7 linked regions of the Rattus norvegicus genome follow. Each later gene encodes a partner of the first gene's protein in a complex. Links are inferred from orthologs where the notes say so. Each region holds a gene or a part of one and is shown in the gene's direction. Other genes may lie near its edges.

Region 1 (4,013 bases):
GTTTGACCTAAAGAACATTTTTTATGTTATATTGACTAAAATTAATTAAGAACTTTAGCAATTGTTACAATGTGGTAAAAATCCGGCCCAAAAAGGAACATCCACACAAAAGGAGGAGAAATTAACAGGGAACGTAAAAGTGCAAGTCTGGGCGTTGTCCTATTTGCCCTCATTTAATTCACACTATCGTTTTCAAAGGCAAATATGGTACTGATTAAGCAAACCGGCTAAACAAGTTAGCAGAAGCGGCCAAGGTTACACACACTAAAGCCATTTCAAGTATCGCCTCTTTAACATGAAGACACCCTCCGGGGTCCGGACAAGAACGGATAACAATGAAAAGACTTCGGAAAAGTTTCTCAGATTCTCCCCTCCACTGAGGGATCGGGCAGGTAGGGGGATCAGAAATCCATCCTCTAAGTAGAGCTTGTCTCTGGGCCACCTGCAAATCCCTATCTAACACGGCGAGCCGTGCCCAAACGCAAAGGCCGGTTGAATGGAGCCCTTCCTCGGGCACCGGCGGGCGAGTTTCCCTAGCACGCCACACCTGGGAAGCCGCCCTTCGGAGTCGCGATCCCACGAGAGCCCGGTGGGAAGGCATGGCTGCTCCCGAACCCTCCTGAGCAGCCTTTGCCCGGGCGCTGACCGCGGCTCAACCCCACCCAGGTGACTCTGTCCCAACCCCGGACAGCGCGAGTGTGGGCAACTGAGGGGCATCATCAGAGAGAGCCCGGGCGGCCGACCCGGTAACCTGAGAGACGGTGACAGAGGGTCGGTCCCGCCGACAGACGCCGGGATCTCAGAGGGTCCGTCGCGCCATGCATCCTCTGGCCCGCCGGAAGCGTGGCGCCTTGGAAGCCACGGCAGCAGTCCGCAGAGCGACCTGCACCTGCCCCAGGAGAACTTAGGAAGCATCCCTCCCGCTTACCTAACTCTCCCGCCCGCCGAAGGGAAGGGGACACCACCGCCTCCCACCCTCAGGTGCGACAGGCTGCCATGGCCCCTCGCGCAGGCGCAGACCAGAAGGCGGGGGACTCACAAGCGGATAGCCAATCGTTGAAGAGAAGAGGCGGACCGATAAAGGAAGCCCCGCCCATGAGCTCGCGTTTATCCCTCCCGCGACTTTCTCCATCCTGGATAGGCCGGAGCGGGAGGGCTGAGTACGGAAGCGAACTGACGTAACCGGAAGAGGAAGTCTTCTCAGCTGTGTTGTTGATGTATTTTGGCAGCTGCTCCTGCTTTGCGGGTTGAGGGGGACAGGACGACCCGTGGAAGGATGGTGTGTGAAAAGTGTAAGTTAAGGCGCTGCTTCTGTGGGAGGTGGAGGCTGGAGGAACCCGACGAAATTCTCTTGGGATTTCGGCCTTTGTTTTTTCTCACCGGTCTGTAGTATAACCTTTGTCTTCCTTCCTTGCCCCACGGTCCTTGCCTATCCCGGGACCCTATAGCCCTATGCTTTGTGTTCAGAATGGTCTCAGTTCTGCACATCTATGCTTGTTTCTGTCACCGTCCTCGCGCCCTCCTTGGATCTCTTTAATTATAACTTCTTGACAGGATCCCAGAGACTTAAAAATCTTTCTGGTAGCATCTAGAGTTGCCAGGTGTAACAAATATAAATCCCAGGCTCTCAGTTACATTATAAGATTATAGGCAATGATTAATTTCTAGTATTATTAATATGTCCCGCATAATATTTAAATCTTGGCTTTTGTTCGCTGTTCCTTACTACAAAACATGCCGCATTTAATACAGATTTTACTTTAAAAATTAATTCAGTGGTCATCTGAAATTAAGTTTAATTGAATATCTTATACCATCCCGTCAGTTCATTAATACAGCATTAGGTCAGGTGAAGGAGAGAGTCTCATCACCACCAAAGAAATCTATGTAGTCATCCCTGGCTTTTAGAAAGGTCTTTTTAACTCTTTAAGTTACCATTCAGTAATTCCAATGAAACCCCTGAGATTTGTTGAAAATACTTATTGTTTTGTTTTTTCGTTTTCTGTTTTTTGTTTTTTACTGCAAAAGCTGTTGATTTGTTTAAAACAGCTTTCTTTTCTTGATCTCTTTCTTGGGCTAGACAGCCTTCTCTGACAAGATTCCAACTTGGATCTCAGTTAATGGCTAATATATACAACCACAGTACATAGAACTCTGGACACAGACACCACCTAGTAGCTGTGGCATCAGACTCAGCCACCATTCTTTTTTTTTCCAGTAAATTCTATTTCTTTATTATTTTTGAGATAATATAATTGCAACATTTCTTTCTTCCATTTCCTCCCTCTAAACTCTCCCATATATCCATCAAATTCCTGACCTCTTTTTTCACTAATTGTATTGAATGCATACATGTATATAGTTGTTTTATAAATGCAGCCTGCTCAGTTCATATATTGTTACTTGGATGTATGTTTCCGGGCTGACCATTAGCACTGGACAACCAATTGGTATGCCCTTCCCTCGGGAAGACCACTCCTAGCTACCTTCATCAGCTCCATTCTCAAACAGCTTTTTATTCTTTTTGAAAGTGGGGAAAGTGTTTAATTAAATGTGGCCTAAATGTAGATATGACCCTGTCCTTTGTGCTGTGCAGTAAAAGGCCATTTCTTTCTATTATAGTTACTCCTCTGCTCTTCTGAAAAATCTAATGTTTTACTATTTGTAACCTCCTAGTCTGTGTGCTCATTACACTCACCCTGTATGTAAACTGAACTCCTGCTCATACAGAAGCTGTACTGTCAGGCAGCCACCTCAGTTCTGCCTTTCCTTCTGTCATAAGTTGCTCAAAAAGTTCTTTGTCTCCAAATTTTTAGAGTTCTCTTCCATTTACTGGGTTCCAGGGTGTTTGTCTTGGTCTGCTTTGTTTCTCTTGATCCATTAGATCTTTGGGAAATGGTTGACCTCAGCTAGCACATCCATACCACTGAGTATCCAGTTCACCTCTCCACCTGACCTTTTCCCTACTTAAACTCTAAGAAGTAACTGTCCATTTGGATCTTGACGTCCGAGGCCCTCTACAGACAAACACCTAAGCTATCCTTCCAACCTCCTTTCTCCCACCTCACACTGAGCTCGCCAGAGTACTCTGTGCACTGTGGTACCCCTGAGCTTCCCATGCCTGACCTGGGGATGTGTCCTTTATTTACTGTTTGACTTCATCTCCTCATCTACTTTCCCAACACTTAAGCTCCATCTCCTTAGTTCACAGCTCAGGCTTCCAGCTTATGGTTCTACTGAAGGCTTCTTCACTTTTCAGAAAGGCTCCAGTCAGAACAAGAAAAGGTTATAAGCACATGCTCTAGGTTTCTGTGCAGTCCCGCCTGCTTCGTTTCCTCCCAGCTATCAGCCTACAAGCTCTTAAGGAGCTCGTGAACTTGGGTCTAAGCCCCTGAATCTAGACTCATGGCTTTGTTTTCCTCAGTACCTCCCACAGTGCTTTGTACAGACTAGGTGATTAGAGAATGTGGGAGAAATGAATACGTTTGTCAGAATTGTTTAAAGTATAATCAGTGGAACCTGTTGGTAGGGCATCTTGTTGTCCTGGAAGTTTTATTTAGAACCAGTATCTGTTGCCCACAGTTGCTATCATTCATTCATTGATTTCTACCCTGGTGTTAGTAGGTTCCTACTGTAGTCTCACTTTTCATGTCATTATGTACTTCAGGCATAATACAGTATATTTATTATTTTAAATTATTATTGTAACGTTAGCAGAGAAATGCGTTTTGTTATTTTATTTCCACACAGTGTGTGTATTAGATGACAGTTGTACTCTTTTGCTATCTTGCTACAACAGGTGAAAAGAAACTCGGCAGGGTTATCACTCCAGACACATGGAAGGACGGGGCCCGGAACACCACAGGTACTGCTTGCCAGTAGGAAACAGGAGCTGGATCAAGTGCTTGTGGACACAGCTCTAGGGCTTCACTGTTTGCAGAGTGCAGTGTTAGATGATGACTCTCTCGTCCATTAAACACAAAGAGGACCGGATTCCCCTGTGAATTCATATC
Region 2 (4,104 bases), on another chromosome or scaffold:
CTTGGAGATGTAAGGTGGGTATATCTCTTAAAAACACCTGCCCGATATTAGGGTTTTTGCAGAAACACATTCTGACAAGGCCGGCTTGGGGAAGTTCTTGAGGCTCCCCAGTAAACTGGAGCAGCAAACAAAAACATCCCCGGAGCCCAGTGTGCCGTGTCTAGGTTAGAAACCTCTGAACACCAAAGTGGAACCTACAAAAGAATCTTTGATACAATTCAAGGAAGCGCCTTCTTGAAACTAAGAGGGAAACTGAGGCCCCAGAAGGGCACAGAAACCGGCCTACAGCTACACTGTAACTAAAGGCTGGAAGAGCTAGGACAAGCCCCAGGTGCACTTCTTGACTGGATGACTTTCACTACAATGTACCACCTGGATTCGCCAAAAGTTCACACTTCGAATTTTATTTTGAAATTCAGTGAAAGTTACAGTCTTACGGGCAACTTGTCCCCTTAGGCCTACAGTTCTCATTGTCACCAACTCTCTTGTCCCTCTTACAATACACTTTCCCTGTAATCCTGTGCAGTTTGGGCTTGCACAAGAATGACAGAGATGATCTTTCCCAGCCCTCTTTGAACTTGTAGTGTAAACTTTTTCATGTAAATCAACCGATTCTAAATTTTCAGGCCTTCGCCTGAATCCCCAAGTGCTCCCTGCCACCCCCGGTCCTGGACTCCCCTGCTCGCCTCATTCCTCTGGAGTGAGAGAGCCCTGCGGTTGATCTTCACCTGGGACTGCCATAATGCAGGTGAGTGGGGTCACCGGAGTCCTGAGCTTTCGAGATCGCGTTTCGTTCAGGTCCTTAGCGAGGACAACGCACTAGCAGAGGGATCTCTCCCACCCGGTCACTACAACTTCACAGGGCAGGAGAAGGCCGGATGCACATCCAGGGTTGGCGGAACTAAGAAGCTGCGGACCCAGTTTCCAGGGGTGTCCTACCGCGGAGCACACGTGGTCTGAACCATTTCGGCCAGCTTCCGGAGGTGAGTGCTATCTGCAAACACCGGACCTGGACGCAGCACCCGGATTTACGGATTGGCCGTTTAGCTAGTATTATGAATGACACGACAAATTCTCTAAAGTTGCAGAGGTCTTATAGTCTTTTCTAGTTTCCTGAAGAACAGGGACATCCCCCCTCCCGGAGTTAGCGGTGCTGCGATCCGGGAGCAACATGGCGACGTCCATGAGGGGATAGTTTGGGGGAGTAGCTAGTGCTTAGTACGGTTGTCCTGTCTAACTCTGACCGAGTAAAGTTTTCCCCAAGTACCCAGGTAAAGAATTGTCTACTAACAGGTGGGCATCGTCAGAGACCCGCCATTCGCTCGCGGCCACACTAAGGAACGGAGTCTTGAGCAGTGAGCAAGATGAGTAACATCTACATCCAGGAGCCGCCCACGAATGGGAAGGTGAGAGCCTCTACCACCTGGACATCCTAATTAAGAGCAACCTGATTGGGGGTGGCAAGGGAGTTGAAAGACCAAAAGGACTGCCCTCCACATCATGCTTATGGCCACTGTTGCATTTATACTATTTACAGTGACATGTCTCAGCGTATTTTTGAGAGTTATTGAGCAACTTCTCTATTCGCTAGTCTTCTGACCCCTTAACTTCCTTGATCCAACTCACGTGAGCGCCTTCTAGTGTCTGTTGTTTTTAAGACTTACGTTAAGATTGTTCATTTTTTTAGTTGTTTAACTTGGAGGTCGCGCATTCTCTACCATCATTTATTGAAGGCCTCCTTGGCACAACGCACTCTACTAGGTGCTGATGATACAAAGCAAGGTTGGTGTGCTACACACACACACCCCCACCCACACACACACACAAATATATATATATACATATATATATATACATACATATATATACACATATATACATATATACATATATACATATATATGTATATATATATACACACACATATATATATATGGCTAGCTGCTAATTCCCTATTTCAAAATTACAGGCGTGCATCGACACACCTGCCTTTGGTTGGGAAGAATTGAAGAAGATTATATTGCCATGATAGTAAGGCGGAGTGAAAAACAGGAAATGATGGGGAAAACATCTTGGAGGACATATCTTTTGAGATAATTGTCAGAGGCAGCGGGGGAGTGAGGAATATTACTGGGTAGGAATGGGAATCGATTCCCTGATAGGTTTCATACCGAGCTATATTTCTAGAGGACAATATTAATTTTAACTAATAAATGCTCGTAGAGATAAAATAGACTGACCATTTATTCCCCAATGCAGGACCTTAACTTTTGCTGTTCATTTCTCTAGTATGCTATTTTATCTGTTCAAACGTCACTCTTAACAAAGAGGCCTATAAAATAGCAAATCTCAGTGATGCCCTGGGTCTCAACAATTTCCAAGTATTTAATAGTATATTACTTTTGTTTCTTTCCTATATAGAATGCAAACACTATCAGTGAAGATAAACATCTAGAAACAGTGATTCTCTACCTGTGGTTTGTGACCACTTTGGTCAAATAACCCTTTTACAGGGGTTGAATATCCGACATCCGACATATCAGATATTCATGTTAGGATTTATAACAGCAGCAATATTACAGTTATGAGATAGCAATGGAAATAATTTTATGATTGAGGGTCATTACAACATGAGGGATTGTATTAAAAGGTCACAGAATTAGGAATTGAGAGCCACTGACCTAGAACATTGCTTCACATACACTGTGGAGTTCATGCACTATGAAAGAATAGCTAGGCAGATGAATTAATACTATGTTTTCTTTAGCTTCTGAGAGGTATTGAGCATAAGTAAGGGTGAATCATGCCCAGACTTAGTTGTTTGACACTTTTAAGAAATAAAAGAGGGTTTCATATGAGTCTTTAGCTATGCTGGAACTGGTTGTTTACTGTAGGAAATGATTTGACACATTCATAGAGTAAAAGCATTTCTGAACAGGAGCTCATTCCTTCAACAAATATTTTTAAATTGTGTATATATACATGAGGTGTGTGTGTGTGTGTGTGTGTGTGTGTGTGTGTGTGTGTGTGTGTGTGTGTGTCTTGTTTTGAAGAGTTAAAATAAAAACTTCATAAAAACTGCAAAAGAACAGCAGATAAGGGGACAGGACAGAGCTGGCCTGAGATGTGCCCGGCCAAGCCTAAAAACAAGGTCAAGGGATTGTTCCAGGAAGGGGGCCATCCGGACGTATGACTCCCTGCTCTACAGATAAAGATAAGACGTTCTCCTATATTGAGAACACCCCAGCCCGCACGTACTGCTTGCAGATGAGACCTTGTACCCATTTCCCTTGCTGATAACCATGCGAAACCCCCTGGCTTCTCCTATATAAACCCCTGCCTGAAGAGGCTCGGGGCCGATTCCTCTGTCTCCTGTGTGAGATAAGTGTCGGTCTGGGATCTCGTTAATAAACGCTACCTCTTGCTGTTACATCAAGACCGGCTACTCGCGTTTCTTGGGGGCACCTCAACCCATGACTGGAGCGAGGGTCTCCCCAAGTTTGGGGGTCTTTCAGTTTCATGGTTGTCCCACTGCATACATTAGAAGGTTCAGAGTATAACTTTAGATGATGGCCCTCATCTTCCACTTAGTTTAAGGCAGTGTCTTTTTGTTGTGTGATGCTGCCTATGTCAGCCTAGCTGGCCTGTGTGTAAGCTTCTGGAGAACCTTTTTGTCTCCTCGGCTCAGCGTAGAGTGCTGGAATTAAAGACACATGTTATAGAACCCACATTAAAAGAAAAGGAAAAGAAAAGAAATCACACACACAGAGTCTGGGTACTTGTGAGTCATTCTTTTATTTTATGATCCAAGTTTTAATGATTAGTTACATGGGCCTATGTTACCCAGATTAACTAGGCCAGCTTTCACAATTGCCATTTGAAAGATAACATTACTAATGTAGAAACTTCATCATGAGTCGTGGTGCTTATCTTAATCAAAGCACTTGACAGGCACATCTCTGACTGCAGGGCCACCCTGGTCTACAAAGCAAGTTCCAGGGCAGCCAGGATTATACAAAGAAACCCTGTTTTAAAAACAAACAAGCAAATGTAACAACTTGCTAGGTGTGGTGGTATACTCCTTTAGTACCAGTACTCAGCAAG
Region 3 (2,431 bases), on another chromosome or scaffold:
AAGATGTGTGCTGCCGGGGTTGGGGGATATAGCTCAGTGGGAGAGCGGCAAGGCCCTGGGTTCGGTCCCCAGCTCCGAAAAAAAGAAAAAAAAAAAAAAGATGTGTGCTGCCACCACCTGGCAAGATGCTTTATGACAAAGTTTAGACAGAAGAATAAATATTAGATGGAGTTGCACAAGTCTCTAGTCTCAGGAGTCAGGAGGATTGCTGTGAGCTCAGGGACAAAACTTCGCCTCCCCCCTCTTACATCAAATAAACAAAAGTACCCCCAAACTCCTGTATTTTCAATTTGTCTGTCATCATCCATCCTCTCTGGCTATGATTGCTCTTACCCCATTCTTAAGATTTTTTTTTTTTTTTGAGAATACAATCTTCATCACGCTATTCGCATATCCTCAGGGAGTACCATGAAAGAAGTACAATTATCTTTTTCTGAGTAGTTTGTACCATGCGAGAAAGTGCACAACCCCCAACATAAGGCAGAAATCAGCAGAAAAACACAAGATGAAGAGAAAGAGGTTTCTTGTCTCGAGCCATATCCGACTTCAAGGAATAGCCTATGAATGACCTTAAAGAGGGGTTGTTTGCCCAAGGCCACAGAGCCTAGGTGGGTTGAGAAACTGGCGCCTGGAACTCCTTAGGGAAGCCATTAATGAGACTACCAGTGCTGACACTGATCAACAAGCAGCTAGCGAGAGTCAAAAAACAAAACAAAACAAAACAAAAAAAAAAAAAAAAACAACAAAAAAAAACTTTTCCCGGTACCCAAATCCTAAGAGACAAAACTTGGGCCAAGGCGGAACCATGCCACCATGTTAACTTCTAGGTACAAGAGTTAGTTTTCCTCGTTGCTCATACTGTTGTGTTGCGGCAGTATGAGATTTCAATGACAGTGGGATTATGAAACCCACGTAGGTTTCTCCTTCTTTGTAGCCCGGAGCCGTGGGATGAAGCTTCGAGGTTTTTGGACATTGTCCTATATAAGCCAGGCAAAACCCCTCAAAAACAATCTAAGACAAACTCTTTGGACTACATGTCCCAGAATGCAACGCGAGGGTTAGAACGTGATCACCCAAGAGCCACTAAGAGGACCATCATGCAACGCTCTTCGAAGTAGGCGGGCTCCGTGAGGAGACGGCCCACTGTTTCCTAGGCAACCCCAATCCCGCAACAGACTTTATTTCCCCTTCCGCCTAGGAAAAGAAAGTACTCCTGCGACTGCGTGTCGTCTTTCTCCTGCGCCAGCACGAATAGAGCTTTTGTGCGGCGGCAGCGGCGGCGGCGTCTCTCTGATTTGAACGCCGAACAGCGGTAGCTTCTCATCTGTGGCCTGACCTCGAAGCCTAAGAACAGAGCGGCGAGATGACGGACCGGTACACCATCCACAGCCAGCTCGAGCATCTGCAGTCCAAGTACATCGGCACGGGCCACGCCGACACCACCAAGTGGGAATGGCTTGTGAACCAGCATCGGGATTCCTACTGCTCCTACATGGGTCACTTCGACCTCCTCAACTACTTCGCCATTGCTGAGAATGAGAGCAAAGCGCGCGTGCGTTTCAACCTGATGGAGAAAATGCTGCAGCCCAGCGGGCCGCCGGCGGACAAGCCGGAGGAGAACTGAGGCGAGCGCTTCCCAGCCTTCCCCATCTGCCATCTGTGGACCGATCCTCCTGACTCCTGCTTCTCGACCATTCTCCGTTGGGTGTATCGCCTGACCTGCTTACCTGTGGACGGTTCCGAACAAGTCATCGAGAGACTGTCGGGTCTCCTGGGAGCTGTGCGGAAGGAGTGATCCCAGAATCGGCAAGCGAGGGAGAAGACTGCCTGGGAGTGATGACGCATTCCGAGTCAGCTTTTCGATAGTTGATGTCGTTCTCGCCTTTTTTTTTTTTAAATATATATCATACATAAAGTTAGGATTTGTTATATCTTTTGGTTTGAATTGCTGTGTTCTTTGGGAGGTATTTGGAGAGAGTTCTGTGGATCAAGATTTCGTGAGAATATGACTAGAAAACGGGGGCGGAAGCACAGGGCAAGCGTTTATTGACAAGTACTTTAGTTGTCACACACACTTTTATGATCTTCCCTCACCTCGATTTTCTTCATGCCTACAGTGTGTCTGGTACCAAGGAAACCTTCAAGCATGGAGTTTTTCCACATTCCTTCCCACCCATTTCTAGTCTTTGCTGTCATTAACCTCACTTCCCTTTATGCTGCAGCCCCCTCCCCCCTTTCTTGGTAATTAGTTTGTGTGTCTTCAGAAATGACAAACTGGCAAACAATGGTGTCCTGTCCCGACCCTGCTCCACCTCTCCCCATTCAGTTTTCACCAGAGCATTTTCCAAAGGTTTGAGGACATACATTATGCCGGCCAGTTTGGAAGCAGATATGCTAAACTAGTCAAGAGTTAGAAGATGGAGGGGGATGG
Region 4 (4,195 bases), on another chromosome or scaffold:
ACAATACGTTTTAACTAGATTATAACATTACATGTACAAACATCTGAAAAGAAGAGTGAGCTTAATGAACTATGAGATGTTAGACATTCCTATATTACTGAGGGGGAAAGAGATGGGTTAGAAGGAAGATGACCCCAAGTGGAAAGGGGATTTGTGGGTAAGAGTACCAGTTGCTCAGTATTGGCATTACTGCATTGAGTGATATGCACAAGGTCTCCTTCCTTATAAAGCGCACGTTTTAATGGAGAGAAGCATCTAATTGTTCATGCATATCAATAGAGGACTATAGATTTAAAGAATAAAATAAAATAAAGGACTATAGATTTATCTTGACATTACTAAAATTATTTTGAGTGGAAACTATCAAAATTATCCCTGAGTCACCATGGTCAGCTTCCCAGAATAAAATAGACAAATCACGAGAGAGTTGTCTGAAGCTTTATGACAAGACCTTGGCCTAAGGATGTACCTGACTCTGATTAGCTTGAAATAGACAAGAAATACTCTTAGTTGGGTGAAATCTGGTGATGCATGCTGGCCCCAAACTTGCACCACCATGCCTAGCTCTGAAATAACTTTCACCTGTTTATACCCCACATACCTTCTAACCCTAATCACAAGGACCTATGTGCTTTTCCTGATGCCCAGGCCAATGTATCTGTTGTAAGTCACCCATAAACTGCACACTGCAATTCTGGGCTTCCCTGCCTCCTCCTTTGATCTCATTGACCCGTGGGACCAGTTCCCATACATTGGAACAGGGGCGTTTTGTGACAAAAGCATATTCTATGAAAACAGTATTCTAGATATTGGAGAGCACAGTAAGCAGTTGTATTCCCTTGCTTTCAGACACAACATTCTCCTGAGGACCAAAAATAATACGTTTTAGAATCAAATGATAATAAATTAATATTATCCAAACTTCTTGTGATAGTGGAAATTATTTGCACTATATTTGTAATTATATCAATTGTAGATGTTGTGTTACTAAATTTAACTGTGTGGTTATTGCAAATAAGGAATTGGATTTTTTTAAGTCGAAGGACTTACTATATATAAAATGAAAGGTTTATTTAAAACTCTGTCCAAAGATCTGATTGGCTTAGCTTAGCCAACGAAAGACAACTTGCAGGATTGATTTCCCTGCTTCCAACATGTGGATCCCAAGGATTAGGCTCGGATCTTGGAGGGCTTCTCTCAGAACTTTTCCTCCTTTGACGTGTGAAAGTTCCAGGCCTTCACAACTGGTTTTAATAAATTCATAAGTGGTCTCGGACTCCTGCAGGTGTAGTCCACCAGCCCTTCCGCCCTCCGAAGGCGCAAAGCGCTCCTCCCGTCGCTAGGAGCCGCTGTCGCTCTCCCGGTCGCCGGAAGGCAGCGCGGCTTCCGCGTTCTCGTCGCGCATCCGCAGGTCTCCGCGCGCTCTTCCGGCCATTCATACTCCTAGTCTGTGGGTCTTTGGAGCCTGAATTCCGTGGACAGTTGGACTAGAAGGGAGACTGCGCCGCTAGGATGAAGCTCGTGAGGTGAGGAGGGTTACCTGGCTGGGGGAGAGCGGCGGGTAGAGAGTTTGGGCCAGCTTAGGAGGCCGGGCCGCTGTGCTCCCAGGGAGGCGGGAAAGCCGCGTGCGCGCGGCCTGCTAACGGCCTCCGGCGCCCGGGCCCCGCCGCGCCCTGCTCGTCGCCCAGAACCCTGGGCAAGGGACCGGCGCGTTCAAACCCCCTCCGGTCTTACAGGAATGAAGTGGCCAAGCCGTCTCTGTCCACTTCTCATCCGGCGACTTAAACGGAGCAGTGGTCCCTCCGTTTTCGTGGCGAGTCGGAGCACTTGCAGTGACGAGGATTTAGAAGTAGGATGGTTTTATCTGCAAATAACGACGCCGATTTGCAAGACGTTTTAGATTAAGTTCTCCTTAATTTTGACCGACCAAAGCATGTAACTCGTTAATGTAGGCTTCTGACTCAGGAAAGACAAAGTGTCTCTGGATGGGGCAAAAGGTAACAAGTTAATTTCTCCTGATTGCATAGATTATGTCGGAAGTGGAGCCTAACTAGAGTCTTGTTTGCTGGTTTGATTAATTCCAAACTTACAGACTTGTGGCCAAGTCTGGGGCAGGGTATATAATATCTAAGCCAGTTTTTAGAAATATTTAGTTTCTTGTGTCAAGACCTGTTGTAGTTGACCAGAATGCCTTTGGACACTTTAAAGTGCTTCCCAAGTGCTAGATTACAAGCATACATTTTTCTTGGTTTTGCTCATTAGAAAGTAAATTACTATTTGTGTGTGCTCGTGCACAGGTATGTTATAAGACAATTTTTGGTAATTTGTTTTTGCCTTCCACCAGGGTCTCAGGGATTAAAACTCAGGTCCTCAGCCTTTACAGCAAGTACTTTTTACCTGCTGAGCCAACTTGATGGCCCTGCTCAATATTTTAGTCAATTAATTGATTTTGTTAGTGGTAATGATTGGTTTTGGGGTGAGAGAGTGCGCGAGTGTGCTCCTTGGTTGGCTTGGTGCTCACTGTGTAGACCAGGCTGGCCTTGAATTCACAGAGATCCTCCTGCCTCCGCCTCCCTAGAGCTGTATTAAATGATGCACTACCATGGTTTGATTTAGTTTGGGTTTTGAGATTATATTTATGTGCAGGGTGGAGGGTGCCACAAATTAGGCAGAGGCCGGAGCATCTATGTAAATTCAAGTCCATCCTGATGAATTCCAGGATAGCCAAGGCTACACAGAGAAATCCTGTCTCAAAAAAAAAGAGTTGCATTTATTTATGGGGGAAGTTTGTGTGCACAAAGATGAAAGGACCCGTAGGAGGAGTCGGTTCTCCATTATTGGGATCCTCAGACTTGGCAGCAGCAAGCGTTCACCCTCTGTGCATATATACCGGCTTGCTGTGCTTCTTCCCAACACCCCTCCCCCACCGTTTTTTCTTTTTTTGCATAGATAGAAAATTGGGAGATTGTTAATTGTTACTGGTGAGGGCCTGCATAAATGGGTTTGTAACGGCAGAAAGTTGAAAACATCATTCACAGTGGGGTAGTTGACATTTCCATATAGTAGATTACTATCTAGCTCTTGGAATATTTATTTTTAGGGAATTATCCCCAGTGTAAACTGCTAAATAAGCTCCAAGTACTATTGATGCCATTAAAGAATAGCCTACTTTGTGTAAAGTAGAATCTTACATGTATGCTTGTGGGTTAGAATAATATCCCTGTTTACCAAAATGCAGGAAAAGAGAAGTTCTTTATTTCTACCATGTAATCTTATGCTATCAATTAGAATTCTATTTCCTTTTTGTGTCTGAAAATTAGTCTAGGGTCTTTTGTTTGTTGAGACAATTTCACTGTCACTATGTAAAACAGGCTGGCCTCCAATTCACAGAGACCCATTTGTCTGTCTAGCAAGCACTGGAATTAAAGGATGCACCACCACTCCCAGTGCTACTCCAGGATCTTGAGATATCTTCATTTAAGGTTGTTTTGTAATAGTCTCTTTCTAGTATTCTCTAGTCGGAAGCTCAGGACAGCCCAAGTTTACAGACTCGGGTGAAAGCTTATTTGAGTGCTCTGCAGCCTGTGAGCTGCAGGTGGACCCAGTAACGTCCAAAGATGCCAGAGGAAAGTTTATTGCTTCATTCTTTTATAAGTTTATGAGTTTGGTTCAGAAAAAGTTAAGCACTGTGTATTTATTATGAAGAATTATTTTTAAGATGTTTATTTTATGTGTGAATGTTTTATCTGCATGTATGCATCACAAATTTGCCTGGTGCCTAAGGTCAGCGTAGGCCTCCAGATCCTCTGGGAGCAAAGATAACAAATGTTTGTGAGCTTTCGTGTGAGTTCTGGGACTCAAACTGGGTCCTCTGCAAGAGAGGGGAGTGCTCTGCACTGCTGGTTAGCTATCCAGACCCCATATGAACTGTTGTGGCATTTTAAAGATTTTGATCTCTAGCATTTTTACTCTACCGACTTCATCAAAAGACTTAAAATGTTAAGGTAAAAAATCAGGACTTTATTTCTTTTTATAGATTTTTGATGAAATTGAGTCATGAAACCGTAACCATTGAATTGAAGAATGGAACGCAAGTCCATGGAACAATCACAGGTGAGAAGACTGTTTCTGAAATGTTTTTGTTTAAGGTTTTTTGTTTGTTGTTTTCTTCCTTGTGTTTGTTTAATGAGCGTTG
Region 5 (3,500 bases), on another chromosome or scaffold:
AAGGTGTCATGGGTACATGACTATAATCCTAACACTTCAGACACTGAGGCAGGGAGCTCACAGACTCAAGACCTGTATCGGTTACATAGTAAATTCAAAGGCAGGCTAACAATTACTAAAGTAAAATAATAATTTTAAAGGAATAGGGATCTAGCTCAGTAAGTAGGAAGAGGCACCTAACAGGGAAAAAAAACATAAGAAAGAAGCAGGCTATAGTGGAACATACCTATAATACCAGCACTCAGGAGACTGAGGCAAAGGAATTTCCCAGAGTTCAAGGCCAGCCTAGGAGACCCTCTCTCAAAAATAAATAAAAAAACCACAACCAATCAGAGTTGGGAAGCCCAGTCCCAAGGGATCCAGCTACAAAACACTCTGAACCTAGGGTTCAGAGAACATTGCAGAAGAGGGAACAGAAAGACTGTAAGAACAGTGAGGAGTTTGCTATGGTAGTGCTCTTAACTTCTATAGTCTAGGTCGGCAAATAACTCCAAACCTATTCTCATGTCAGTAACCCCAATTAAACTCAGTGGGACACTATAAAAATGACAGGGAAGGAGAGTGGCTGTGAGGGACGGGAGCAAATGTGAGAGCGCCAAACTCCATCACATGCACATGCCAGAACTAGTCAGAGTCGGGTAAAACATGTCCGCAAAGGAGGGCGACTTAATGAAAAGGTGTCCACTAGGGGTAAGGAAGAGAAGTTAGCTGGGGTCACAGATCAAAATATAATATATGCATATGTAAACAATATCAAATAAGTATCGCAAAACAAGAAGAGTATCTTCTTAGACACACCTGGCTCTAACCTGGTGAAGTTCAACAGGAAAAGGAGGCTAAATACCAAAGGATGTTTAATAAAGCCTCATCTTCCTAGGGAAGAGCACACCAATGGGTTGGTCAGTGCCGAACAGCCCTGAAAATGTACATACAGGTAGCAGTATATGGACTGAACAGGTGATATTTTGGAGTGTGTGTAGATGCATGGAGAAAGGGAGGAAGGGGAAGGGAGAAAAACAAGGGATGGACATGGTGGCATTCTTGAGAGATTGAAGCAGGATTCAGGGCTATCCTGAGCTTTGTAATGAGTTCAAAGCAGCCTCAGGTATTTAGCAAAACCCGTGTCCATAAAACAAGGGGCTGGGAGATAGCTCAGTAAAAAGGGTTTACTACGGGGCTGGGGATTTAGCTCAGTGGTAGAGCGCTTACCTAGGAAGCGCAAGGCCCTGGGTTCGGTCCCCAGCTCCGAAAAAAAGAACCAAAAAAAAAAAAAGGGTTTTCTACCCGAGCTTGAAGACCCCAGGAAGGTGTGGCCACTGCAAGGTCTTTTTGAGCCTCAGTTCTCAACGAGAAGGGAGAAAATGCCATATCCTACAATTTCCACAAAACTTAAGTATTAAAGCTGAAGCAAGCATGCAAACCCAGTATCTAAGAAACCAAACAGGAGAAGTGCAAGTTAAGGCCAGCCTGGGATGTATGATAAATACTAGTCTAGCCTGAACCCTATCTTGAAAAAAGTGAAAGCTGGGAGATGTCTTGGTGTGTAAAGTGACTGACTAGCATGCCAGCACGAGGACATGAGTTTGGATCCCCAGCACCCACATAAAAACCAAGCATGCACGGCATCTATAACCCAGAGCTGAGTAGAGATTCTAAGTGGGTCTCTAGGGTTCATTGGCCAGCCAGCATAGCTGAATCAGTGAGCTCGGGTTTACTATCTCAGAAGAAGATGGAGGCTGGAGAGTTGGCTTCACGGTGAAGAGTATGTGCTGCTCTTCAGTGGGCCTACGTTCAACTTCCAGCACCCACTCTGCATGCAGCTCACAACTGTCCAGTCCCAGGAGATCCAACACCCTTTTCTGGACTCAGCAGACATCAGGCATGCACGTGACATGGTGTACAAACACATACATGCAGGCAAAAACATACTTGCACATAAATACCAATTTCAAAGAAGTAAGGTGGCTCACACCTTTAATCCCAGCACTTAAAAGGCAAAGACAGGGGCTGGAGAGATGGCTCAGTGGTTAAGAGCACCGACTGCTCTTCCCGAGGTCCTGAGTTCAAATCCCAGCAACCACATGGTGGCTCACAACCATCTGTAATGAGATCTGATGCCCTCTTCTGGTGTGTCTGAAGACAGCTACAGTGTACTCAAATATATAATAAATAAAATATTTTTTAAAAAAAGGCAAAGACAGGCAGATCTCTACAACTTTGAGGACAGCCTTCTAGTTCTAGGCCAGCCAGGGCTATCTACATCTACATAGTTTTGTTTTTTAAGAAATTTTTTTTCTCTTTTAGGGTGAGGTTGAGGGTGAGGTTTACATAGTTTTTTTAAAAAAGGAAAAAGCATAGGTGATGTACATTTAAGGAATGTACCTGCTGTCAACATCTGTCCTCCACACACATGTACACACGGCACACAAACAGCAGGTATGTGCATGTGTACCACATATACACGCAAGTCTTCATTTTACGTTTTGCTAAGGGAGACACAGAGACATATACCTGGTCCCATTTCTCAGGAGTCATGGTTTGAGAGAAGAGCCAAAGGAACCATGCCTGGTCCTAATCACCAAAGGTCACGATGTACATTTGGGCATAATGGTGTGCACCTTGAATCACAGTACTCAAAGACTGATGGATCTCCCAAGTTATAGGCCAGCCCCGGCTACCTAGGTAAGGGCTTGATATTTTAGGCCTAACAGCAGTAGTCCATTTACCCTCTGCCTTCTCCTTCACTCCTTCCCTCACACCTTAGGTAGAAGGCCTAGATCCTGACAATGTACGAGCCATGGTTCGGCTGGCAGTAGGCAACCGCGTTGTGAATGTTAGTGAGTATTGCCTGCGGCCTGTTTCCCAGCAGGAGTTTGATAGCCACACGTCGAAGCCAGGTGAGAGTCTGAAAACTGGAGACTTAGAGAAGCATGGTGACAGGCAGGCTCTCAAGACCTGTAGGGAGAAGGGGCACTGTCTGACTTCCAGTCAGAGGTCAGGGATAAGAAGGGACAAGAGTAGTTTATTTACTTTTTGTTTGGTGGTGCTGGGATTAGAACCCAAAATCTTGACAGTGCTAATCAGGCTCTACGAAGGAGCCATACCCTCAGCCTAGTTTGTTTAGTTTAACTGAGAAGAACTTGATCTAATACTGTATATCTTCATCCTCTCTGAGCAGTAAGAAATGGATATGGAATTCAGTTTCTACATCAAGAAACTGGGTCCTCATGTATTTAGAGTGGCGGTCCCCTCTTTTGCTAAATATGAAACTAGAGTTAAGGTGTGAGCAAGGAGTGGTGAACAGAACAGTGATGGTTGTGGGAGGGGCAGCTTGGAGGTGCCTGCGGCTCTTCGTCCACTCTTGTGAACACCAGGCAGTTGACTCTGTTGTCTTTGTTATGGGCCAGGTAGTTGAGAGGGACTTCTTGAAGGAGGTGGATAGAGAACAGGTCCTTTGCCAGGAGGACAATGACCCTTGGAAGGAATACAGCGAGGCTTTC
Region 6 (4,014 bases), on another chromosome or scaffold:
ATCCAAGAGGAAAATGCCAGTGGCCTGAATTGAGGGTTAGTAACAGGGAAGGGAAGCTCAGGGTAATTTTCACAATACTGGGCAAGCATGGCAAGTGAACAGGATGTGATGAGGGAAGGTAGAGGGTCTCCAGCTTTGGGTTGGAGCCACTAATATGATAGCAGCGTCCTTTGTGTGAGGCTGAGAGAGGTGCACACCTTCCATAAATTAAAAAAAAAAAAAAAAAAAGAAAGAAACGAAGCTTTTCACCTTCTACTTTCAGGGGAGGCACATTGGGGGGGGGTTCTTTTATAATTCTCTTTCTTCATTTAAAAGTTCCAAAGGAAGGTCAGGGAAGAACTGAAATGTTCAGTTTTAGGAGATCCTTCCACTTGAGATAAACTGGAGAACAGAATTCTCTTTATCGAGCATTGGCCGTCCCCAAAATCTCAATGATGGACACCAAGACAACGTTGGCGAAGCCATCTTACCCATCTCGTGCTCCTCCTGGCAGTTAGGCCCACTGTTCCATAAATTCTCACTATCGTAAACGCTCACGGCATCTCCTCTCACACTACAACGCTTAATGCATATAGCTATGTATATATATATATATATTTATATATCTTAACAAGCAATGCGACTATAACCCCTGCCTTCAAGGCCAGTGGTTTCGCAGGAATGGTACCTTTGGAAAGCTCGTGGCTGCCCCCGTACTTATTTGCGCCTTCTTCATATCCACTTAAGTGACAACTCTAGTCCCTAGGCTGCGGGGTCTACTGAGGAGCAGGAGCCGTTGGGTCGGTCAGTTGGCAAGCTCTCCTCAGATCTCAACGCTTGCGAGACGCGGACCGGCTCCTGGCGCCTTCCGTCCTCGCAGAACCGCAGCGAAAGAGTCTGGGAGGGGGTCGGGAAAGGAAAAGACGCAAGAGAGATTAAGTAATTGGTTCTCAAAGGCACAAGATGATATTTGGGGTCGACTATGAAGCACCGGTTTCAAACGCCCGCCCCCTAAGCAGCCTTGGCTCCGCCCCTAGGCGACGTCACTCCATCTTTTTCCCGTGTCTCTGCGGATTGGTCACTGGGTCAGCCTCTAAAAGACGGTTAAAAAAAAAAAAAAAAAAAAAAAAAAAAAAAAAAAACCAACTCGGGATTTGCTTCCGGGTGTGGAGTTCGCGTCTTCTACACAGCCGTTGGGAGCGCGAAGATTTTGCTTCCGGGTCTTAGTTGAGTCCCAGGTGTAGAGACTGGAAGTTCTGCATTTTGCTTCCGGTTTTGCGCAGAGATTTCTGGGAGTTAAGGGTCGCAATGGTTCGTGAGTGAGCTTCTGAAGGCACTGCGTCGAACCCCCGCCACAGTGAGTAGCAGGGCATAGTGGTTTGTGGTCCCTGTGCGGGCCGCACCGGGGAGTCGGAGAGCCGTGACTATCGTCCGGGCCGCGGTGCTGGAATGGCGGTCGGGAGCTGCAGCCGAGCTCGGGGCGGTCACCGGCGCGGCACCGCTGACACTGAGAAAAGCAAAGGAGGGTAGGATGGGGTAGAAACTCCCACGTCCCACACGGTCTGTCTGAGCATGCTGCTTAAGCTAACGGAGATTTAGTAGCCCTGTAGTTAGGCTGGAATTCTTATTTGACAGCTAAAAATTGCAAAAGGTTCTCTGGTAGCCTAGGCTAGCTTGGAACTCCCGATTCTATTGCTCTCACCCCCCAAGCTCTGGAATCACAGGAGTAGTACCCAGTCATGCCCAGTTCTTGATGTTTGGTTGAGTGGAGTTCCGATTTTCTTAGGATTGCGTTAAGTTACAGCCTACCAAAGCTTTACGAATGTTGCGGTAACTGCTTTAGAGGGAAATTGAATCAACAAGATTCTGGGGTAATGTTGCCAGTGTAAATGTCATTGGGTTTTAAACAAACTCTAAGACACTCAATAAGTTTGCCTGTAACTTTAAAAGAAATTTGTTTTTTATTGGTCCATTTGCTGTAGTGTGAGGTTTCTGATAAAAATGCAAATCTTGGCCGGACAATTCCAGCAGTGCAGAGGCAGTCTGGTAGATCTCTGGAGAGTCCTAGGCCAGCTTGATCTGCATTGTGAATTCTAATTCAGCCAGAAATACATTGTGAGATCCTATCATAAAAAATAAATAAAACAAAATCTCAGAGAACCTAGTGCTAGTGGGATATAAAAAAAAAATTTAAGTCATTTATTTTAAAAGCCACACTACACTGTTGTCCAAGATCTGACATCACGTGTCAGAAATCTCATAATAATTCTATAGAAGTATCAACATTCCACAAGTGATAGAATCAAGCTAGGAGACTTGCGCAGGGCTACCCAGCTAAAACAGAAGCACAGACTCAGACCTTCAGAGTAGTTATTTATATCAAATAAGAGCTGCCTGGCAGTGCATATCTAGTAAACACCCTGAATTTCATGATTCTGCTCTTTAGAGACTTGTACTGAAGCAAACTACTTAAGCAGTTCTGGGGAGAGTTTTGAGAATGATTTAAGGACAGGTAATTATGAATGATCTATAAAATGAAAGTATAATTAAACCCATGTTTGTCAAAGAATAGAAGATGACAACAGCAGCCAGGCCAACTTTTGAACCTGCAAGAGGTGGGAGAGGAAAAGGAGAAGGTGATTTGAGCCAGCTCTCCAAGCAGTATTCAAGCAGAGACCTTCCCTCTCATACAAAGATAAAGTACAGGTAAGAAGCCTTTCATTTGTCCTGTTCACAGAATGGAACCAACCATGACTTATGATCATGTCTAAATTAATAGTATTTAAGTTACCGATCTTCCAAGAAAAGGCTTTCAAAAAGTTTACAATACAATTATTTGCTGTAGTTGTAAAGTGCTCTACGGTCTTTCAGCATAAGTTCCTATTGAGCAGGGATTGCTGGTGTGGATGAAGCCCTCACTAGTCATGATAACCAGCTCAGTCTTCTGAGTGAGTATGGGAGTTGCTGTAACAGCCCTGAGTGGAGGACTGTTTTCAAGAGACGTCCTGCTGTAGGAAGTTGTGTGATACGGAACCCCACGAGTGTATTAATAGCACTCTGATTGGGATATTGTCCTCTTCCGTTTTGTTCTTGATTGACACTTACATTCTGAATTGTCTCAAGTTGCTATAGCCATATAGGTTCTTTTCCTTGACAACTGGGGGCAACATTTTTGACCTGTTTTGGCTTGTTTTGTTTTTCTACTTAAGACAAACCACACAGGATGCCCCTGAAGAGGTTCGCAACCGTGACTTCAGGAGAGAGTTGGAAGAGAGGGAGAGAGCTGCTGCAAGGGAGAAAAATAGGGACCGTCCAACCCGAGGTATCTGCTGTCCCTCGTGTGTCACATAGTTATGTGATGCAAACTGTTTCCTGGTGATTGGAAACAATTAACATTGTTGTGAGCTATACCTCTTTGATAAGAGACAATAATGAGGTTTATTCCAGTCCCATCTTGTCATGCATTGGTACTGAAGACATGGTGACCTGAAGTGTTTAAAACCATTTTTCAGTTCCTGTCAGTAGACTTTGACTTTACAGCAGCTGGAACCCGCCCGAGGCCTTCTGTCTGGGACTCCCCATGTAATTGATGAGTTTTGAGAGAAGCATCAGTTACCCTTTTTATGTTTCTACCACATGTGAGCATTGGCTAGTCTCCTGAGACGCTGTGATCTGCGTGCTCACTAATTCACCCCATGTTAACCAACAAGTATTTATCAGAGACTTACTTGCCCGTCACAGGGTGGGTCCCTGCTGTCACTGTGCTTTGTGTGGATTCTTTTTGCCCAAAGGTTTCTAAAATGTTACTTAAAATCCAGTATGTACTTCAATATGCTAAATGTTTGTTTTCTTCAGAACACACAACTTCCTCTTCGGTGTCCAAGAAGCCCCGCTTAGACCAGATTCCTGCTGCCAACCTTGATGCTGACGATCCTCTCACAGATGTACGTGTTTTAGGTTTGGGTTTGGGTTAGCTTGTGTTTATTTGTTTGCTTGTTTCAAGCCGCCTCAGTGCTGGAACTGTGGGCCTCTGCC
Region 7 (4,044 bases), on another chromosome or scaffold:
GAAATTCTGCTGAATAAACACTCTTTGCTTTTGTATACTATTTGAGTCTGGGGGGTATCATTCTTCTGCTACTCTTGGACCCTAACACTCACAAAAAGGAACTCCTATTTTCTGTTTACATACTGATTTCTGGATAATTGTGATATGAATAATTATTAATTATATGATAATTATGATATGAAGTATTCAAGTACATATAGATTTCCCCTTATACCATTAGTTCTATGCATGCAGAAAACCAGTCCTCCAGATTCCTTCTATAGACCAACTGTACAGAACAAATTTAGATGCTCAATAAGGGATGATTAAATTAGCCTGACCTGATTGGTACAAGCTCAAGACATTTCAAGTTAAGCAAATTTTAAAAGATTTATTAGTTTTACTCATGTGTATGTATATCTGTGCATGCCATGGGAGTGCAAATGCCCACAGAAACCAGAGGAGGAGGATGGATCTTCTGAAGTTGGAGTTGTGAGCCACTTGTTTTGGGTGCTGGGATCTGAATACAGGTTCTCTGGAAAAATCACCAAATGGTCTTAACCACTGAACCACCTCCCTAGACATTCAAGCTAATTTGTTGAAGCTCAGTTTTTTTTTCCTCTGTAAAGTAGGGGTGGTAACTGTATTTCATGGGGTTGTTGGGAGGCCAGCTTGGTCTACAGAGCGATGTCCAAGACAGCTAGGGCTACACAAAGAAACCCTGTATGTAAAGAAACAGAGATTGAATGAAAAATGAAAATGGCAGAAACTGAGCCCCTTGGAGGCAGAGGTTTAGGGTAGGGGCAGCCACTGGTGTGAGACTTAGCCTGGGTTTGAGACCTAACAGAGACAACATGCATAAATTTTCTATCATTTGGAACCTTTACATTCTCTAACTCTTCAATTGTTAGGTACTAATTTGACAATGCTAATTTTTGCCTGCCTCTGGAAAAAGGCCACATCCGTTATTTAAATCTGTGGGCATTTAATTCAGACTGCAGAAGCACACGGATCCACTGTAACGCCCAGGTTCCCACCTTCGAGCTACACCAAAAAGGGAAGCAGGGAATAACTAGGGAACTATTTCGCCCCTGGAGCAAAAGCGTGAGAAAGCGCGTTTGCGTTACTGCGCATGTGCCGAGGCTTAGCGCGCCGGAAGTCCCGCCTCCATTTCCGTTGGCTCCAATCTGAGCTGAGTGTTCGGGTTGCGCGCGCGCTTCGGAGCCTCACCCGGAAGCTGATGTCTTAAGAGCGGAGCGCGAAGATGCGAATATGAAGTAAGGATTTAGTTTCTCTGAGGACAGGGGAGGGAGTTTCTCTGAGGAAGGGAGAATGGATTGAGGAGGGCCGCCCATAAGGGCGGGGACAGGTCCTCGCCTTCAGGGCCTCGGGGCGGGAGACGACCGGTACGTAGAAGGCGGGCTGTGAGGAAATGTACTTAAACGTCTTTCCCTTCTCCCGCACAGCCCTTTAACTAAGGTGAAGCTGATCAACGAACTGAATGAGCGAGAGGTTCAACTTGGGGTGGCAGAAAAGGTGTCTTGGCACTCGGAATACAAAGACAGCGCCTGGATCTTTCTTGGTGAGGTCTACATTTTTCTCTAGCAGTGCCTTTCAGAGTCTGTACCTCCCCTCCCCTCCTCCCCCTTCCTCCTGGTTGTTTAGCGCCCCTGGTCGTCACCTCTGAACACGCTGCTCGTCACCTCACACTCTTGCAGCTAGTCTGCTCACAGGTTCCTTTTTCACTTGGCCCCTATGATACTGCTTAGAAATTGGTATTTGCCATTCATTATATGAAAAATCTTGCCACTTGGTTGCTTAGAGACAGTTAACTCCCCAGGCAACCCATAGTGATGTCAAGGAAACTGAGGCGCACAGGGGTTACTGGGCTTGCTTAAGGTGCTGCATCACTCAAAACTATAGGGCTGTGTTCTTAGTCCTTATTGCATGTCTATTATCTGCCGTTTCTCAGAATTATTTTCCTCTTGTAAGTGGCTGCTTCTCCCAGTTCTTTGTTGTATTGTTAGGTACCAGAACAGACATTAACTGGCTTGGACGACATTGAGGGTTTCTCCTGCTTAACATTTGAAAGGCTATCTGAAAATGTGGAGGGATGTGAGCTTTGTTGTTCATTAAGGGAAAACTACTGATGAAAAGAATACAGTCTGGATTACACCCCTGGCCCTGGGTAGATACCGGGACATTTTCAGGAATCCTAAATGTTACATGCTTGTGTTCCCCTTCCTTAAGACAATCCAACAGGCTTTAAATTTTCTGGCCAGGAGTCACCTGTCAGGAAAGCTCAGTCATCTAAAGACACGCTAAGGACATGGGAGGGAAATGATCCCCAGTGCAGTTGTTACTGGTCTCTGTGTTAAGTCTACCTGTTATTCTGAGTTCTCACTTATCCCCTGCCCTCCCTTTCTGTCCATTCTCTGGATGCTGGCTGGAATCCTGAACATGCTTGCCCGGAACACTTTGGACTGTCTCATTCCAAATCTAAAGGCTCTCCTATCCCCTTGAACCACTCCTCTACCTCCATCTCTGTGCATTGCTGCTTGCTTGACCGCTAATTCAGAAGGCATGGCTGCTTCTTCTGCAGCTCCTTCATCCCAGTAGCTGCTGAAGCTTACAACTTGCTTCCCTATCAGCTCTCTCTCAAATGCTAATAAAATGGACCTCAAGCTTCCTCCTTAGTCTGCTTTAGAATTATATTATCAAGATAAGACATTACTAGCCTTTGTAAAAGGGGAACTCTTAACTCTCTGGTGACAATATTATTATCCTGTATTCACTTTATGTCCCAACCAAAATCCTGCAGTTTACCTTTGGAAAGAGGCTGTTGTAATAGGTATTGTGTTAAGCACTTTATATTCCTCATTTTACTTTATTTCTCTAACACTCCTGTGAGGCAAATATGATACCATCCCATTTTTACACTTGAGGGAAAACATGGAGGGAGGGGAAATTGTTTCCTATGAAATGCTTAATATTATCCCTTATAAATCTTAGCTTGCACATAAGTGAGGGTAATAATAGTATACTTAAACTTGCTGTTTATGAGATTGAGTCTTGTGCAGGAAATCACCTGCTTTATAGGATTTTTGGATGTGAGGATTCAAAGATAAAATTAATTTGGTGAGTGATGACCCCAGCCTTTCCACTCAGAGTTACTATTTTTTTCTCTTTCTCTTCTCTTCTTTTCTTTCCCTCCTTTCCCTTCCTTTTCTCCTTTTTTTCTCTCTCTCCCTCCCTTCCTTCTTCCCTCCCTCCTTCCCTCCTTCCCTCCTTTTCTCTCTCTCTCTCTTCCCCCCTCCCTCCCTCTGTACCTCCCTCTCCCTCTTTCTTCCTTTCTTTCTCTCTTTCTTTGAGGCAGAGTTTTACTATGAAACCACTGTGTAGACCAGGCTTGCCTGGAACTCACAGAGATCTGAGAGTTAATTACTTTCCTTCCGGACTACTGTCACTATACCCACTCATTCTATCATTGGATTAGACTGATATATTTGAGATTGTGGCTTGTTTAATCTGTACCTCCAGTGCCTAGCATGCAGTAAACACTTGCTTAATGTTTGTTGAACCCAAGTGTTTGTTTTCTTCTAGGAGGGCTTCCTTATGAACTGACAGAAGGAGACATCATCTGTGTGTTCTCACAGTAAGTCCTCTGTTGTTACCTATCTCCTGGGTGCATAGAACAGTTTGCTTCCATAGAGTATTTTTGTAACAGCAACAAAGCATTTCAAGCTGGGTGTGGAGTTGTACACCTCTATAAGAGGCTGAGGTAGGAAGATCACTTGGAGTGAGACCCTGCCTCAAAAAGCCATGAAAACCATTTAATTCTAGGCTGAATGACATCCATGCATGGGGAAGGCTAGAGTCTAGCTCAGTCCCAGGTTAGATAAGGTTCCAGAGAATTACCACATGGGAGATCCCAAAGCTTGGATCATTTGAGAGTCTGTCTGAGGGACTTTAGTCCGTTTCTGTCATTTTTACTGAGCTTCGTTCTGCATGGGCTTACATTGGAACAGACAGGCATTCAGGAAGATGCAGTATTGCCCCTTCTCT

The links.
Region 2: Cript (region 1) and Cwc27 share a complex: the UniProt entries of both Homo sapiens proteins name them as parts of the minor spliceosome. The link is inferred for Rattus norvegicus from reciprocal best matches to the Homo sapiens genes CRIPT and CWC27.
Region 3: Cript (region 1) and Sf3b5 share a complex: the UniProt entries of both Homo sapiens proteins name them as parts of the minor spliceosome. The link is inferred for Rattus norvegicus from reciprocal best matches to the Homo sapiens genes CRIPT and SF3B5.
Region 4: Cript (region 1) and Snrpd1 share a complex: the UniProt entries of both Homo sapiens proteins name them as parts of the minor spliceosome. The link is inferred for Rattus norvegicus from reciprocal best matches to the Homo sapiens genes CRIPT and SNRPD1.
Region 5: Cript (region 1) and Gpkow share a complex: the UniProt entries of both Homo sapiens proteins name them as parts of the minor spliceosome. The link is inferred for Rattus norvegicus from reciprocal best matches to the Homo sapiens genes CRIPT and GPKOW.
Region 6: Cript (region 1) and Cwc15 share a complex: the UniProt entries of both Homo sapiens proteins name them as parts of the minor spliceosome. The link is inferred for Rattus norvegicus from reciprocal best matches to the Homo sapiens genes CRIPT and CWC15.
Region 7: Cript (region 1) and Rbmx2 share a complex: the UniProt entries of both Homo sapiens proteins name them as parts of the minor spliceosome. The link is inferred for Rattus norvegicus from reciprocal best matches to the Homo sapiens genes CRIPT and RBMX2.

The regions. Positions count from the first base shown.
Region 1 is NC_086024.1:13,340,135-13,344,147, reverse strand, and holds the start of Cript (cysteine-rich PDZ-binding protein), read left to right. Parts: upstream 1-1,213; 5' UTR 1,214-1,276; coding exon 1,277-1,292; intron 1,293-3,799; coding exon 3,800-3,865; intron 3,866-4,013. UniProt on the Homo sapiens protein: As a component of the minor spliceosome, involved in the splicing of U12-type introns in pre-mRNAs. Involved in the cytoskeletal anchoring of DLG4 in excitatory synapses.
Region 2 is NC_086020.1:37,706,539-37,710,642, reverse strand, and holds the start of Cwc27 (spliceosome-associated protein CWC27 homolog), read left to right. Parts: upstream 1-1,304; 5' UTR 1,305-1,364; coding exon 1,365-1,406; intron 1,407-4,104. Other genes in the region: protein SREK1IP1, read right to left, coding at 729-741. UniProt on the Homo sapiens protein: As part of the spliceosome, plays a role in pre-mRNA splicing. Probable inactive PPIase with no peptidyl-prolyl cis-trans isomerase activity. As a component of the minor spliceosome, involved in the splicing of U12-type introns in pre-mRNAs.
Region 3 is NC_086019.1:9,175,971-9,178,401, forward strand, and holds Sf3b5 (splicing factor 3B subunit 5), read left to right. Parts: upstream 1-1,218; 5' UTR 1,219-1,363; coding exon 1,364-1,624; 3' UTR 1,625-1,931; downstream 1,932-2,431. UniProt on the Homo sapiens protein: Component of the 17S U2 SnRNP complex of the spliceosome, a large ribonucleoprotein complex that removes introns from transcribed pre-mRNAs.
Region 4 is NC_086036.1:1,968,279-1,972,473, forward strand, and holds the start of Snrpd1 (small nuclear ribonucleoprotein Sm D1), read left to right. Parts: upstream 1-1,395; 5' UTR 1,396-1,512; coding exon 1,513-1,526; intron 1,527-4,036; coding exon 4,037-4,113; intron 4,114-4,195. UniProt on the Homo sapiens protein: Plays a role in pre-mRNA splicing as a core component of the spliceosomal U1, U2, U4 and U5 small nuclear ribonucleoproteins (snRNPs), the building blocks of the spliceosome.
Region 5 is NC_086039.1:17,468,299-17,471,798, reverse strand, and holds part of Gpkow (G-patch domain and KOW motifs-containing protein), read left to right. Parts: intron 1-2,764; coding exon 2,765-2,897; intron 2,898-3,500. UniProt on the Homo sapiens protein: RNA-binding protein involved in pre-mRNA splicing. As a component of the minor spliceosome, involved in the splicing of U12-type introns in pre-mRNAs.
Region 6 is NC_086026.1:19,585,702-19,589,715, forward strand, and holds the start of Cwc15 (spliceosome-associated protein CWC15 homolog), read left to right. Parts: upstream 1-1,214; 5' UTR 1,215-1,336; exon of another isoform or gene 1,337-1,505; intron 1,506-2,546; exon of another isoform or gene 2,547-2,551; 5' UTR 2,552-2,554; coding exon 2,555-2,685; intron 2,686-3,188; coding exon 3,189-3,301; intron 3,302-3,834; coding exon 3,835-3,923; intron 3,924-4,014. UniProt on the Homo sapiens protein: Involved in pre-mRNA splicing as component of the spliceosome. Component of the PRP19-CDC5L complex that forms an integral part of the spliceosome and is required for activating pre-mRNA splicing.
Region 7 is NC_086039.1:132,765,151-132,769,194, forward strand, and holds the start of Rbmx2 (RNA-binding motif protein, X-linked 2), read left to right. Parts: upstream 1-1,244; 5' UTR 1,245-1,251; coding exon 1,252-1,256; intron 1,257-1,445; coding exon 1,446-1,561; intron 1,562-3,582; coding exon 3,583-3,634; intron 3,635-4,044. UniProt on the Homo sapiens protein: Involved in pre-mRNA splicing as component of the activated spliceosome. As a component of the minor spliceosome, involved in the splicing of U12-type introns in pre-mRNAs.